4 linked regions of the Mus musculus genome follow. The protein of the gene in region 4 purifies or fractionates together with the protein of the main gene of each other region. This does not show direct contact. Links are inferred from orthologs where the notes say so. Each region holds a gene or a part of one and is shown on either strand. Other genes may lie near its edges.

Region 1 (4,322 bases), on a different chromosome or scaffold from region 4:
CTATCTTCTGGTGTGTCTGAAGACAGCTACAGTGTATACTCATATACATAAAATAAATAACTAAATCTTTTTTAAAAAATGGCCTTGAATCTCAAATTTAAGCAAACAGCTTCAGTTGTTTACATTTTAATTGCATGTAGTTATTTATTTTGTGCGAGTGAGAGGCACATGCGGCTGTCTCAGAGGACAACGTGAAGGAGTCAGGTCTCTCCTCCCACACAGGGGATTGAATTTACAAAACTAGCCTTGCTGATAAGTGGTTTTACTCTCAGGCTGCCCAGCTTCAACATTTGAAAGTTTTGGTTTCCTTGTCGGCAAAGAAGGACTGACAATTCAAAGTACTTATTTGTTTGTTTGTTTGTTTGTTTGTTTTAAGCGTTTTCAAACAGGGTTTCTCTGCGTATCCCTAGCTGTCCTGGAACTCACCCTATAAACCAGGCTAATCTTTAACTCACAGAGATCGGCCCAACTCCCAAGTGCTAGAATTAAACCACCCCCTGCCAACGTTGTTATTTATTTATTGAATATGAGTACACCATTGCTCTCTTCAGACACACCAGAAGAGGGCATCAGATCCCATTAAATGTGGTTTTGAGCAACCATGCGGTTGCTGAGAATTGAACTCAGGATCTCTGGTATAGCAGTCGGTGCTCTTAACCACTGAGCCATCTCTCCAGATCCAAGTTGTTGTTGTTTGTTTGTTTGTTTGTTTCAATGTATTTTTATGAGTATCTGCATGCCTGAGTGTGTATGTCTGTGCACCACATGCATGTATGTGCCCATAGACGCCAGAGGAAGGAGTCGGATGCCCTGGAGCTGGCCTTTCAGACTGTTGTGAGCCACCAGGTAGGTGCTAGGAACCGAATTCCCCTGCAAGAGCATGCAGTTTTAATTTCTGAGGCGGCTCTCTCCCTCTATGGAAATGGCTTCAGCATTGCGATTTGTGAATATGCAATGCAGTAACGAGTTCGTAAAGGCTTGAGATGTTGACAGTGGGGCGATCAGAGATCCAGCTCATCCCTGTAACTATCTTTTCTTCGCACTTGGATCTAGCGGGTCACTTGGACGGGCAAGCCATGCCTTGCACCAAGGAATCTATTCCCAGTGACAGGGACAAGAGTCGCCAGGAGAGGGGGGCGTGCCACCTTCGCCTAGGACGCTCCCGTAGTTGGAGAAAGCCAGCCCTTGCGCGCCTGATTCGAAAATTCAATTTTTAACTGTCCGTTTTCCGCCTCCGCTGTGTTTAGGATGAACTCCTGTGCATTGTTACTAGCCTCCGCGAGGCATCCATTCCTCTCAGGCTGTCTTTAGCGCAGCAAAACTACGATTCCTACTGGGATGGCTTTGAAGATGATGATGATGGAGAAAACCCTTTCGCCGCTGCTTCTTTTTACTCAGGCACGTCCGTGGCTACCTCCATCTTCGGGGGGCGGAGCCGCGTCTGGACCGGAAGGACCCCGGCGCCGTCTCCATTTTGGAACTTTCCCCGAGCCTCTGCTCTCGGTTCCCGGGAGTTCTGTCCGCCGCTGCCGGTGCCGCGGTGTCGCCGGGGGCCACGGTGTTGCCGGGCAGGATGAGTGTGATAGACCACGTGCGGGACATGGCGGCTGCGGGACTGCACTCCAACGTGCGGCTCCTCAGCAGCCTGCTGCTCACCATGAGTAACAACAACCCGTGAGTTGGAGAGGCGGGGAGGTGGCGGTCCCGGGAGCCGGGGTTGGCGGTGGCGGGGGGACGGTGTGGTCCCGCGGAGGGCTGCGCGGGATCCGGCCTCGGTGGCCTCGGAGTTCTGGCTCCTTCCAGAACGACGAAGTCCCCTGAGTCCCGGGGACCCAGTCCACCGAGTGTCAGCCGTGGGGGTGCCACCCCAGCGGAGGGAGGGGACCCCACTTTCCGAGACTGAGAGCATCGGTGGCGGGCGCGGTGGCGCCTTTTTTTAATTTAAAAGGAACCCTGGCAGTCTAATGTAAGGCCCGACATTGCCGCCGGGGAGTGACTGGTTTTGTGTGGTTGTGTTTACAAACAGGGGTCTCCTGTAGCCCAGGCTAGCCTGCCCCAGGCTGTGTGTGTGTGTGTGTGTAGTCAAGGAAGACCTTGACCTTCTTACCCTCCTGCCTACGCCTCCCAGAAGCTGGGGGGGGGGGGTTAACTGGTGTTTTACACCCCCACCATGCTCTCAGTGTGCGTGTGGACCTTGGGGATCGAACCAGGGATTTCAGGCGTGCTAGGCAAAACACTACCGATGGAGTGACAGTTCTATCTAGCCGGGTTTACTGCGTCTCAAAGGAAGCCCGGGACAGTTGTAGGCTTGAATTGCCTGTAAGGGCCTTGCTTAAAAATTTCCCCATCATTGCTCACTCTTCGACGTGGCTCCGCAAGTCAACCTAGTCATTCCTTTTCTCTAATTTCTCCTCCTGCCCGAGCGCTCTCAGAGCAAGCATTGGCACCGGTGGCTTCACTTTAGAACCGCTGCCTGAGCCGGGCAGTGGTGGCGCATGCCTTTAGTCCCAGCACTTGGGAGGCAGAGGCAGGCGGATTTCTGAGTTCGAGGCCAGCCTGGTGTACAGAGTGAGTTCCAGGACAGCCAGGGCTACACAGAGAAACCTTGTCTCAAAACAAAACAAAACAAAAAAAAATGCTAAGGAAATGTGTTTATTACAGGGAGGTCCAGTAGGTCGACCAAGATCACACCCTGGAGAACATAGAGGAGCGAGTGGATCTGTCTATGATTGGAGATAGTTTGTATTTCAGTCCACCACTGTCTAGTGCTTCCAAAGAACATTACAGTAGCCTTCTACTCCGTGCAGACATTTGCATTTGGCGTGGCTGAGGCTAGTCTAGTGAGACAGCCAAAGGGCTGTGAGGGGCCTGTAATTCAGTCACTACCCCCCACTCCAATTCATTAGTGTGCTTTGGACCGACTAGGCACACACATCATTTGGTCACCAGCTTCTTTTTTTTTTTTTTTTTAAAGATTTTATTTATTTATTTATTTTTATTTATTATATGTAAGTACACTGTAACTGTCTTCAGACACTCCAGAAGAGGGCATCAGATCTCATTACGGGTGGTTGTGAGCCACCATGTGGTTGCTGGGATTTGAACTTCGGACCTTCGGAAGAGCAGTCGGGTGCTCTTACCCACTGAGCCATCTCACCAGCCCGGTCACCAGCTTCTTAGTGTGACACGAGGGACACTGGTCTCTGTCAGCCTTCTGTGTTGATGTTGAGGACTTTTCCCCAGAATCTTAGTGGTGCTTCATAGCAAATGGTTTCCTGTGTTGGGGATAATGCCCTAATCTTTACTCTTGGGTCGGGACAACGTTCTAGCACTGTTTGAACGCTATAGAGCGTCCTCCTCTAGTTAGACTGAATTGGGCTAACCCATGCTTTTCCACGTTAGGTTAGATTGGCAAGTTCTTAGCTACAGGAAGCAGATAAGTTCTGACCTTCATCCTTTATGTTTTGATATTTGTTGAAGAGACAGTGTACACACTGTCCAAAAACAAAATAAGACTGATAACATAGTTCAGTGGTAGAATTCTTACCTAAAATGCCTTGCAGCTGGATCTAGCCTTTACAGTTACCTAAGATATCGCTCTGCCCGGGAAATGGTCATTGTGTACTGGCTGGTTTTGGGTGTCAACTTGACACAGGCTGGAGTTATCACAGAGAAAGGAGCTTCAGTTGAAGAAATGCCTCCATGAGATCCAGCTGTAAGGCATTTCCTCAATGAGTGATCAAGTGGGGGGGGCCTCTTGTGGGGTGGTACCATCTCTGGGCTGGTAGTCTTGGGTTCTATAAGAGAGCAGGCTGAGCAAGCCAGGGGAAGCAAGCCAGTAAAGAACATCCCTCCATGGCCTCTGCATCAGCTCCTGCTTCCTGACCTGCTTAAGTTCCAGTCCTGACTTCCTTGGTGATGAACCGCAGTGTGGAAGTGTAAGCCGAATAAACCCTTTCCTCCCCAACTTGCTTCTTGGTCATGATGTTTGTGCAGGAATAGAAACCCTGACTAAGACACACTGTAACATACTTGCCGAGCGAGTAGTGTCTCTGGAGTGATACATGAAAAGCAGTGCTCTCTGGAGAAGGATGGTGGTTGGGTCAGGTTCAAAACCGAGGAAGCAGTACTTTGCTTGCCTCTGTTTTTCCCACCTCACAGCTTCACTGTGTAGCCCTGGCCGTCCTGGAACTCAGAGATCCACTTGCCTCTGACTCCACAGTGTCGGAATTAAATGATGATTGAGCCAGCACACCGGTCTTCGTGAAGCTGAGGCTGACCTTGAACCCCTGATCCTCCTGCTCCTACCTTCAAGTTCTGAG
Region 2 (4,110 bases), about 100 Mb from region 4:
ACTGGGAAGGGACTAGGGGTAGTGGCAGCAGCCCAAGCTAGGTGTGGCTTGTGGCCTGGGATCCACCTTGGGCAGGATCTGGGTGTGTAAGCAATGATTCCAAAGGGCTTTTGTTTCCTTTGAGGATGGCACCTCAGGTCAGTATTTCCTGACTGAAAACAGCTGTTCTGGGACAGGGACACAGGGGCCCATGCTGTGTCCCACCAGGTTCTGTTGTCTTAAGGCCAACCTGTCCTCAACAGGTGTCTGGGCACAGCCTGCCTACAAGGGTGGCTGAGCCCTATCTTGGAGGAAAAGGATTATTAAACTGTGTCCTGGGTTCTCTTCTTGTCCCCACCCTCTTCCTGTACTTCTGACAGCATCTCTGGGGGACCTGAAAGAGTCTGAGTACATACTTGTAAGCTCCAAGAAGTGTGGCCAGTAGAGAAAAGAGGACAAAGGACTAATACGCCCCTGGCCCCCAGCATATGTCCTTAGGCTGACCTTGACTGCTAGACACAGGTGTGCACTTGACTCAGGTTGCCTCACCTGAGGATCTCATCGAGTGCAAATGTACTAACAGCACAAAGCCTTACATTGATTCCACAGATGCCACACACAAGTGAAGGACCAAGAGTTCCTTTTAATGGCCACAAAAGCAGGATGGGGCCAAAGTCTAACTCGGGAGACTCTGAGCTGCCAACCCTATTCACTCTTGCTGAAACAGGTCCCAGCATATTCTAAGACAGGCTACAGGAGATAGCTTTAGGGTAATCTATTGCCCAAACATACAAGCTTAGGCTGGGGTAAGCCTGGCTTCTTGGGTGGCTCAGTTACCTGCTGCTGGGAATCCAGGCCCTGTAGGGTTATGGTTGGGTGGCTATAGAGGGCAAACCTGTTTGTATTCATGGGATCCAACAAAATACATGAAAGGATGAGCCAATATGCTTTAATTTGTTCTGTGGGTGTTAGGCAGGGAACGGGCAGGGACTGGGCACAGGAACATGGAAATAGAAGCTGTCCATCTAGGGGTTGCACAGGCATGAATGCTGTAGTCAGAGCCTGGAAAGGGAACATCAGTTGGAATTCTTAGGCAGGCGGTAGACACCTGCAGAATAGATGAGCTGCTGGTCTCGGACCTTCTTCTGCAAGTAGCCCTGCAGCTCCTGCAGGTCAATCTCAGCCAGCGCAGGGCCAGTCATTACAAACATCCGGAGCATGCTGTAGATACGCTCCAGAGAGAGGCTCTCTAGGTTGGTTAACATGGCCTGGATGTATGCCCAGAAGAGCTAGGAACAGAAGCCAGGCATGGTTAGTTGTCCACTTATTTGGCCCACCCCAGCCCAATGTGGAAATGGCCAACGTACCAGTAGCTCCTCTTCCTTCTGGTCAGCCTGGGAGGCCATGCCTGAGTCACTCTCATCATCACTGTCAATCAGCACCATGTTGTCCCTATCCTGAGGCCGCTCTTCCTCAATGACAGAGAAAGTGCCTGGAGGTTCCTCCCGCAGCACACCCTGTTGCAGCCACACTGACATGCGTCTTCGAAGCAGTGCCACAGGCATCTTCACCACCTTGCTCAGTTCCTCCAGGGTCCAGCTGGCTGTGTGCAGAGCCATAGGATGCAGGTACCGAAGATTATACCTGCTCCAATACCTGTTAGCTAGCTGGACCCCCAGACGCACGTGGATTGTCCTGTGTAACTCATAGGTAAAAAGAATGGTTGCTACCCCTACACTCTGCTGGGGGCTGGGGAATCTGGCATGTTACCTTATAGCCCATCAGATTATAGCAATAGCCCCAAGGTAGTGTAGTCAAAGCAGAGCAGATATGGTTCTAGGGACTCACCTTGGTTCTGGAAATACAGCAAGACCACTGCCTGTACTGGGGTCACCGCAACAGACAGGGTGCGGTCAGCAAGCTCCACATCCATTGTCACCAGGCCCAGGGTGTGCTTCCAACTAAGTGTCCGCATAGCCTGGGCAGGAATCATCAATAACAGTCCAGTGGGTTCCAGGCAGGTCCAGATGAACAAGGCATAGGCTCATATGCCATGCTACCAAGCATGGAATGGCTCTTGCACCAATGCCATTCCTGGCAGGTAGGTAGTCAACAGCAAGACCAGGAGACCTGATTGGAGTCCCTGGCTCCTGAACAACCATGATATAACTGCTGATAAATTGTGTCCCTCTCATGTCTCAGTACCTTGGAACATGAGTTATTTGCAAAGAGAGTTAATGTAGATGTAATTAGTTAAGAAGAGGTCATCCTGGAGTAGGGTAGCCCTTAAGGCACAGAAGGGAGTGGTTATGAGAGGCATAAAGTATGCTGACATATCAAAAGCTGGGAAAGCAAAAGAGTAGTTTTTTAGAGGCAACAGGAGGAGCCCAGTCCTGCCAACACCCCAACACTGGACTTCTATTTCCCAGAACTAAAACATTTTTCTGTTGTTTAAAACCACTCAGCCTGTGACTTTGTCTTCTGTCTGTCTGTCTGTCTGTCTGTCTGTAAGACAGGGTTTCTCTGTGTAGCCCTGTTAAAAAGGTCATAATAAGTGAAGCTTCTGCTGTATAGATGGCACATGCCTTTAATCCCAGCACTTGGGAGGCAGAGGCAGGTGGAGCTCTGTGAGTTCGAGGCCAGCCTGGTCTACAGAGTGAGTTCCAGAATAGCCAGGGCTACACAGAGAAGCCCTGTCTAAAACAGAAAAAAAAAAAAAAAAAAAAAGGATGATTCTGGTTCTATGTAGGGATACTGCTCTAAAAACACCTAAAATATAGAAGTTGTTTGTACAATGGGGAAGCACATGAAGGTTAAACCTTAGGTTGCTACAGTTAACTGGCACGACATGGAAGATGCAGATGATGCTGGTGAAGGCTCAAGGAAGGATAAGAGCTATTGCCCATACTATAGAGAATAATGCTGGTAGAGATGAGGGCACTGAGAGGACCTGCTGCTGAGAGCTCAGATAGAAACGATGAGCAAACACTAGACACTGGGGGAGCTGGCAGAGAACTACCAGCCTGTAGCTAGATGTTTGCTGACATGAGTGTGATTTGTAGATCCACCCGGAACACGTAGCATATCCAGGAACATACCCCTTCCCTCACTTTCTTTTCTTCATTTTTTAAATAAAAGACAGAGCCTTCCTCTATAGCTGAATTGCCTTGAAACTTGTTATATACAACACGCTAGCCTCAAACTAGCAGTGCTGCTGCTGTGCCTGCCTCCAAGGCTGGGGTGACAGGCATCACCAGCACACTTGGCTCAGGATCACAGTCACTTGATAAATTGGATATTGTACACTTCATGGAAAGCACCAAGATTTTGGGTGTTATGTCAGCAGCAATGCTGACAGTCTGAATGCAGTGACAGAGGTACAGGAGAGTGCACACAGGGCTGCCAGGAAAGCCAAGGGCACCACCAAGGCCTGAGCCACACTGTCAACTCTGCTTTCCGTGGTTCAGATTTGCTTTAGGCTCATGATCCTTCTTGCTGCCTTTGGGAACACCCTCTTCTGAACTGGGCTTGTTTTAACAATGTGCTTTGGATCAAAACAACCTCACAGCATCAAGGTGGAGACGAAACCTACTTCAGATGGATACGGTTTTTTTTTTTTTGGGGGGGGTCCTCACTATATAGCTAGGCTATATAATGAACCACCACCCTTCTGCTTTAGTCTCCTGAGTGCTAGGATCATAGATAGGCACCACCCATCTAGATTAGAAGAGATTTTTAAGAACTGATGCTGAAGTGGTTAATTTTGGAGATATTGGCTAATTTTCTCATGTAAAGACTATTAGTTTTAGAACCACAGGCTGCCATGGGCCAAACTGTATCTCTTCAAAGAGATAGTAAGTAAAGCCCAGGACACTGACTCTAGTGACACTGTAAGTCCTATCTCCAGGGTCCTTAATCTGATATAACTAGTATCCCAAGAAGAGGGAAACAGACATAGAGAAAACTTGGACATAAAGATATGCATTTACCACCTGGGCAGTGGTGGCGCACGCCTTTAATCCCAGCACTCAGGAGGCAGAGGCAGGCGGATTTCTGAGTTGGAGGTCAGCCTGGTCTATAGAGTGAGTTCCAAGACAGCCAGGGCTACACAGAGAAACCCTGTCTCAAAAA
Region 3 (3,273 bases), on a different chromosome or scaffold from region 4:
GTTCCAGGACAGCCAGAGCTACACAGAGAAACCCTGTCTTGAAAAACCAAAAAAAAAAAAAAAAGTCACTGTATAGCCCAGGCTGGCCTGGAACTCTGAGCACATCTCCTGCCTCCACTTCCCAAGTGCTAGGCTTGAACTCCCACACCTTGCTTGTTTTATATTCTCACTCTTTCTCTCTCTCCTCACACCTTCCTTCTGTCCCTCCTCCTCCCATCTCTGCCTCTGCCTCTGTGTGTATCCCTCTGTCTATCTTTCTCTCACGCTCACACTCTCTTTTTTTCTTCTTCTTTTAATTATACGTGTAGGTATGCAGTCCATGTGTGGGGGGTGAGTGAGAACAAGTGCCTCAAAAGCCTAGCAATGTCAGATGCAGTGATGTCAGATGCAGTGATGTCAGGTTGTGAGCCGGCTGACGTGGGTGCTGGGAATTCAACTCAGCTCTTCTGCAAGAGCACTCTGCGCTCTTATTTGCTGAGTCGTCTCTCCAGCCCCTCTCTTTTCTTTATTAAGAGGTTTTAGGGAGCTCACTTTTGAGTACCTCTTTTGCTACAGCAATAAAACCCTGCTTGCCTTTGAGCAGAGGGAAGGTTTTAATACAGATTTAAACATAGGGATTAAGAGAAAGAGAGACCCTTAGGCAAAGGAGCGTACATACCCAAGTATGGGTGTGGGCTTCTCAAGAGAGTCACCTGTATTTCTTAATAACTGTATTTAAAATTTTTTAATATAAACTTTCCAGACTCAGAGAAAGAAAAGAAAATGGAAGCCCCCTCTTGAGATTTGGTCATGGAAAAGGCTAAGCCTGAAGGGAGATAAAAGGGTGACAGGCCTTGCCAAATTCGCACAGCAAGAGGGAAAAAGAACAACATTCAGATAAGGGCTAGAGAGACTGGCTTCCCTAGTCACATACACATGAATAATAACTAATGGGAATGACTGGATTACTGCCCACCATGTGCACAACACACATCCACGTGTACACACACGGAGGCTGATACAGCTCAGGGGTAGAGCACTTGACCCTGGGTTTAGTCTCCACTAACTCAAGCAAAGGGGAGACGTGCATAATGCAGATGAGTGGAGAATGATTAGGAAAAATGGTTGTTGTTTTTTGTTGGGGTTTTTTTGTTTGTTTGTTTGTTTGTTTCCAAAAATTAGTCTTCAGACGTACATAAAGTCCACCTGGAGATGAAGCCTAGGCTAGTTGTCACATTGGTAACTTTGGCGGCAGTCTGATGGGAAATGCCCTGGTGTGCTCTGTCCCTTAACTCTCTAGATCAGCAAGTCGCTCGGATGGAAAAACTGGCTGGTCTGGTGGAAGAGCTGGAGGCCGACGAGTGGCGGTTTAAACCCATCGAGCAGCTGCTGGGGTTCACACCCTCCTCGGGCTGATGTTGCCTGCACGACCACCCTTAGGGCACAGCCACCCAGGGAGTCACAGCTGTCCTGTGAGCTGCATGTCTGAATCCACATCCATACTTGGTGTCTCCAATTCTGCTAATAGGCAACAAGTGCTCATGTGAGATGTCGCGGAGATGTTTTTCACATTCATGTTCTTTAAAGCATTGGGCAGCACTTGGGAAGCAGAGGCAGGAGGATCTCTGTGAGTTTGAGGCTAGCCTGGTCTACATAAGAGTTCCAGGACAGCCAGGGCTATGAGACACTGTCTCAAAATAAATAAATAAATAAATAAATAAATAAATAAAAAGAAGTATTGGGGATCAGATGGAGACAGTCCTTTCAGAGAACCAGGAGGCTTGGGATCTAGGAAACACTGATTCTCACAAGCCAAATGGACACATGCCAGAGTCAGCCAACTGAATGGAGGATGTCCTGTCATTCAGAGGCTGTCTGGAAGCTTTCACCAGCCAAGCCCAAGGTCAGCATCTGTCGTTTCACGGTCACAGCCCAAACATTTCTCTTCACACATGAATGTGGTTTCAGCTCAGGGTCCGTCCAGATGGGAGCTGTAAAGTGTCCTTTCCCTCTCTGTTCTTAGACATTTAACATTACAGACTATTTCTTTCACCTCTCACGACATGCCAAATGTGCTACTCCACCTCACTCTGCCCCCCAAGATTGCTTTTTGAATGTTGCAGCACTTGAAAATATGAAGTGACCTAAATCCTTTTGAACCCCGAAGTCTTAGTCCGGCTTACAGGGTATGAAAGCAGTTCTGTGGCAAATAAACCCTTACACGAGGTCCAGATCGCTGTGCGTATCCTTTCCGGTCTGGGGGACTTAGACAGAGAGAGGAGGTCAGCTTTTCCTTAGACTTGAAAGTCGCTTAAGTAAGCCGTAGGTTTCTTTATGTGGGCTGTTTGCTTGTATAGAAGTTCCAACTTACTGCAACCTCAGTGAGTGTGGCCGTGGGCTGTTTGTTGGTTAGTTCGCTTGTTTGGAACCTTGTCTCTCAGTAGCTAGGCTGGCCTTAAACTCATAGCCATCCTCCTGCCTCAGCCTACTAAGTGTGAGGATTACCCTCCTTTCTTCACTAGGTTTTTACACGAAGATAGAGAAAAACCTGGATGACCAAGCCCTCGTCATGGGACCCACACTGCACAATTAGGAGGCTTAAGTACTTTTACATACAAATTTACCCTAGCCAGCATTTAGCGTTCTGCTCATTAATTAATAACTTACACCTGATCTGCTTAGAGTTGCTTAATTATAAATAAATTTAATCCTAGTAGCAATTGGCCTTAATCTCAGGAGTTGAAACTATTTAACACACAGTCGCTGCCAGGGAGGAGCTGGCCTCATTTACTGGGGAAAGTCTAGGCCAGTGAAGAGAAACTGCTGCTCAGGCAGAGGACAACCATGTAAGTGGGAGTGGGGAAAAATTGATCCATCATGGAGCCCACTGTTCTGGTCTGAAGCAAGCCAGAGCTTGAGAAGTACCAGCCCCAGCCTCACTGTCTCCCTGTTCTTCTCTGCCACTGTGGTGAAAGCCCCACGCCCAGCTGCTTCCCTAGAGAAGAGTTGAATATTCAGGTGCAGCCCATGGTCAGACTTTCCCTGTGGAGAGAAGCGACCAGACCCCTGGTTTCATGTGAGACCAGACTCTCACCTCCCTTCGCCCACTGGTACTTGGACTTACTACAGACTATTTCCTTGATTAAGTTGAGCATTTCTTTTTTTTTTTTTTTTAAGATTTATTTATTATTATATTTAAGTACACTGTAGCTGTCTTCAGATGCACCAGAAAAGGGCGTCAGATCTCATTACGGATGGTTGTGAGCCACCATGTGGTTGCTGGGATTTGAACTC
Region 4 (3,659 bases):
CTCTGAGCAACTTAGGCTGGTGCCTGTGCCCACCAGACTGGAAAGCCTGGTGACAAGTGGTCTACATTTGAAGGATGTCATAATGTGATATGTATGCATGCTGTCAGTCAGATGCTTTTTCTGTGAAGAACTTGGTCTGCTGCAGGGCTGTCATTATTGGAACAGAATGATCGGAATCATCAAACCATATGCAAGAATACAGCTCCTTGTCTTTAATCTCAAAGTCTTTTCATCTGTGTTGTATTGTGACTTTTTATAGGTGGTTCTGTTGTCTCCAGTTCCAGAATTGAGGGATTCTTCAAAACTTAATGATTCTCTCTACAATGAGGATTGCACATTCCAGCAGCTTGGAACTTACATTCATTCTGTGCGAGACCCTGTTCATAACAGAGTCACTCTAGTAAGTCCTCCTCCAGAGGGTGGAGCAGCTGACTGATCCTCCAGAGGGTGGAGCAGCTGGCTAAGGGTTATTTGTCTGATAGTTCACATTTGGCAGGATGTAAAATTATGTGTGGAAATGAAAACGAACATTTCTCATGATTTTAAACATTTATTGTTCTATGATGTGCATATGTGTGTGGGTATGCATTCATGTATATGTGTGTGCATATGTGTGTGGGTATGCATTCATGTGTTTATGACATGAATGGCCACAACTTTGGAGTTGGTTCTCTGCTTCCATCTTCATGTGAGCTGTAAGAAATGAATGCAGGGTGCCAGGCTTTAACTGCTGAGTTACTTTGTCTTTCAGATATCTTGACATTTTTAAAACATGCTATTATTTTGTACTATTTTACTTTAATTCTGTTTTCTGAGATTTCTATATTAAACATTTACTGAACCCAACCCCAGTTGAGGAGCTGTTGGGAATGGATGGTTTCTGGGGGAGGGAAGGTCAGTTTCCTTAAAGGATATGACCCTGGTAGGATGACCACCCATCCATCAGTGGATTCTTCCACATCTGAGAGTTTATGGGTAGCATAAATTGGGCTTGATGGGTTGTTAAGAAGAAGGAGAGAGGACAGGAAGTTGGGGGTTGGGAAATAGGATCTGCGAGGAGTTGGGGGTGACTATGATAAAAGGACATTATATGAAATTCTCAAGTAGCTAATAAGAGTATATAACAAGTGTATCTAAAACAAGCACATTTACTCCGTCAGTTCACATTGCTGTGTTTTTGTCTTTTCGGAGAAAATCACTTTTGATGATGTTGGTGTCGTAGTGTTTGGATAAAAGCATTATTAAAAGAATTTTTGAAAGTATTTTACAAAAATGTATATTTAGTTAGAAGCATTCATTCTCATTGAAAAGTATAGCAGTTCATTTTATTGTATTTTGCCTTGACTGGCAGACAGTAGTAAAAATTGCCATTTTTTTTTTTAAAGCTTTTAAAAACTTAGAATGCTTAAGCAGTTGGTTTTTTTGTTTGTTTGTTTGTTTCCATTCTTTTCACTAGGAACTGAGCAATGGCTCCATGGTTCGGATCACTATCCCTGAAGTGGCCACCTCGGAATTAGGTAGGTACTGTGCAGTCTCAGTTTGTTTACCACACTGTTGATGGGGACAGTTTCTGGTCTCAGTTTGTTTACCACACTGTTGATGGGAACAGTTTCTGGTCTCTTTTTTGTTGTTGTTGTTGTTGTCTGAATGCAGTACCTGTGGAGGCCAGAAGAGGCTGTCAGGTCCCCTCAGACTAGAGTTAAGAATGGTTGTGAGTTGCTATATGGGTGCTAGAAATTGAACCCAGGTTCTCTACAAGAGCAGCCTGGGCTCTCGACTGCTGAACCAACTCTCCACCCTGCGGTTTCTGTTTGTAGAAGTGAGTCCTTTGCAACATCTGGTTTATTCTTGTTTGTTTTCAGCTAAAGCATGCCGTTTTGGTTTTCTAAGATTTATAGTCTAGGCTTCTAGGCTTCTCAGTGTCTGCTCATTCATTTGATTGATGAGGCTGTGCTGCTAAAGATGGCGTCAGTGACAGTGGTGGTGTGGAGGGAACAAGAAGGAAAACTTGGACTGTCTGGAGCCATTTTGTCCCAATAGTGAATCTGCTGTTTACAGCAGGCAGTCCCCTTGGCTCTCTTCACTGTAGCTGATTTTCACACCAATGATGTGCCATAACTAAGAGCAGTATATATTAGATAGTGTTCGCCCTAACCTACTTATGGCATGGTGAGGAAGACAGTGTAGAAATTACGAGTTGCAGTGTTAGTTGACAGGAATGTTCACTCATTGAGAATAGCTTGTAGCATCCCTAAGCATTCCTGTTAGTAGGTGCCTGTGCTGCATGTTGAATCTACTGAAGGATTTAATCCACATTTTATATAAATTTATTTGTGTAGAAATTAGATTTTTGTTGTTGTTGTTGTTAGTTTTTTGGTTTTTTCGAGACAGGGTTTCTCTGTGTAGCCCTGGCTGTCCTGGAAGTCACTCTACAGACCAGGCTGGCCTCGAACTCAGAAATCTGCCTGCCTCTGCCTCTGTGCTGGGATTAAAGGCGTGCGCCACCACGCCCGGCTTTGTTTTCTTTTCTTTTTTTTTTTTTTGAAATTAGATATTTTTTATGAAGTAAGCTTGATTGTTCAAAGTAGGACAGTTTTGAGAGTGAAAAGGGAACAGTTATTTCCTGGAGCAGTGGTTATTTCTGGTGAACTGGGCTATATGCTCACTTTATTTCTAGTCCCGAATTAGGGATCTGACAGCTAATCTTCAGATTTTCTGTGAGCCCTGTTGAATTCAGTAGTTAGTTTAACGTGATTGATAATGTTGAGGTAATGTTTGTGCCCAGTGTCCTTAGTGATAGTTTCTGTTTTTCCTGGCTGGCCTGGACATGGTAGCAATTTGAACCTTCCCATTTGAAAGGAGGCAGGCAGTACATACTAAAATCAGTATTTGCTTTTAATAGTACAAACGTGTCTGCAAGCAATTAAGTTCATCCTGCCAAAAGAAGTAGCCATTCAGGTGCTCGTCAAGTGGTACAATGTGCACAGTGCTCCAGGAGGACCCAGCTGTCACTCAGAGTGGAGTTTATTTGTGATTTGTCTCTTGAACATGATGGGTTATAACACAGACCGCTTAGCATGGACCCGAAGTGTAAGTAACTACAGTTGTTTTCTTCATTATCCTGTTAGAAATGCAGTGCTTGTATAACTGGCTATATAACTGAGAGAACCTGACAAACTTAATAATAGGTAAGCCTTAGAATATGTCGGGATAATACTAAGGCCTGTTGTCCTATATAGCATGAATCAAATACTTAGTAGGTTTTGAGTCTTTATTTAAAAATCTGTTTAAGCACAATTTACCTTTTTTTCTTTTCTTTTTGTCTTTTTTAAAGTCAAGGTCTTGCTGTGTACGTAGCCCAGGCTGGTCTTGAATTCACCACATTCCCCACTTTGCCTTCCAAGCTGGGATTGCAGTTGTGTGTTACTGCTGCCTGATTTTGACTGTTTCTCAGTTATCTTTGTAAAACGACGTAACTAGACCTCTTGGTTTTGTTGGTAGGCGAAGCAGCGAGGTCTCAGACTTAGCTTTAGAACGCTGGTAGCGGTGTAAAGCCCAGCCTTCTGTCCGTCATTCTGCAGGAGGTGCAAATGGTTTATGATGCACCAGCGGATGCCTTCAGGGTGGGGGTGCCTGACCGTTCTCCAGTTACTCAGCGT

The links.
Region 1: the proteins of Anapc1 (region 4) and Anapc7 fractionate together in Homo sapiens (co-fractionation; 6 studies listed by BioGRID and IntAct, with this or other methods). This does not show direct contact. The link is inferred for Mus musculus from reciprocal best matches to the Homo sapiens genes ANAPC1 and ANAPC7.
Region 2: the proteins of Anapc1 (region 4) and Anapc2 fractionate together in Homo sapiens (co-fractionation; 8 studies listed by BioGRID and IntAct, with this or other methods). This does not show direct contact. The link is inferred for Mus musculus from reciprocal best matches to the Homo sapiens genes ANAPC1 and ANAPC2.
Region 3: the proteins of Anapc1 (region 4) and Anapc16 purify together in Homo sapiens (co-immunoprecipitation; 5 studies listed by BioGRID and IntAct, with this or other methods). This does not show direct contact. The link is inferred for Mus musculus from reciprocal best matches to the Homo sapiens genes ANAPC1 and ANAPC16.

What each region holds. Positions count from the first base shown.
Region 1 is NC_000071.6:122,421,005-122,425,326, forward strand, and holds the start of Anapc7 (anaphase-promoting complex subunit 7), read left to right. Parts: upstream 1-1,439; 5' UTR 1,440-1,573; coding exon 1,574-1,674; intron 1,675-4,322. UniProt on the Homo sapiens protein: Component of the anaphase promoting complex/cyclosome (APC/C), a cell cycle-regulated E3 ubiquitin ligase that controls progression through mitosis and the G1 phase of the cell cycle.
Region 2 is NC_000068.7:25,282,409-25,286,518, reverse strand, and holds the end of Anapc2 (anaphase-promoting complex subunit 2), read right to left. Parts: intron 1,958-4,110; coding exon 1,828-1,957; intron 1,583-1,827; coding exon 1,347-1,582; intron 1,269-1,346; coding exon 1,056-1,268; 3' UTR 603-1,055; downstream 1-602. UniProt on the Homo sapiens protein: Together with the RING-H2 protein ANAPC11, constitutes the catalytic component of the anaphase promoting complex/cyclosome (APC/C), a cell cycle-regulated E3 ubiquitin ligase that controls progression through mitosis and the G1 phase of the cell cycle.
Region 3 is NC_000076.6:59,986,845-59,990,117, reverse strand, and holds the end of Anapc16 (anaphase-promoting complex subunit 16), read left to right. Parts: intron 1-1,279; coding exon 1,280-1,395; 3' UTR 1,396-2,709; downstream 2,710-3,273. UniProt on the Homo sapiens protein: Component of the anaphase promoting complex/cyclosome (APC/C), a cell cycle-regulated E3 ubiquitin ligase that controls progression through mitosis and the G1 phase of the cell cycle.
Region 4 is NC_000068.7:128,663,306-128,666,964, reverse strand, and holds part of Anapc1 (anaphase-promoting complex subunit 1), read left to right. Parts: intron 1-259; coding exon 260-400; intron 401-1,456; coding exon 1,457-1,517; intron 1,518-2,902; coding exon 2,903-3,090; intron 3,091-3,659. UniProt on the Homo sapiens protein: Component of the anaphase promoting complex/cyclosome (APC/C), a cell cycle-regulated E3 ubiquitin ligase that controls progression through mitosis and the G1 phase of the cell cycle.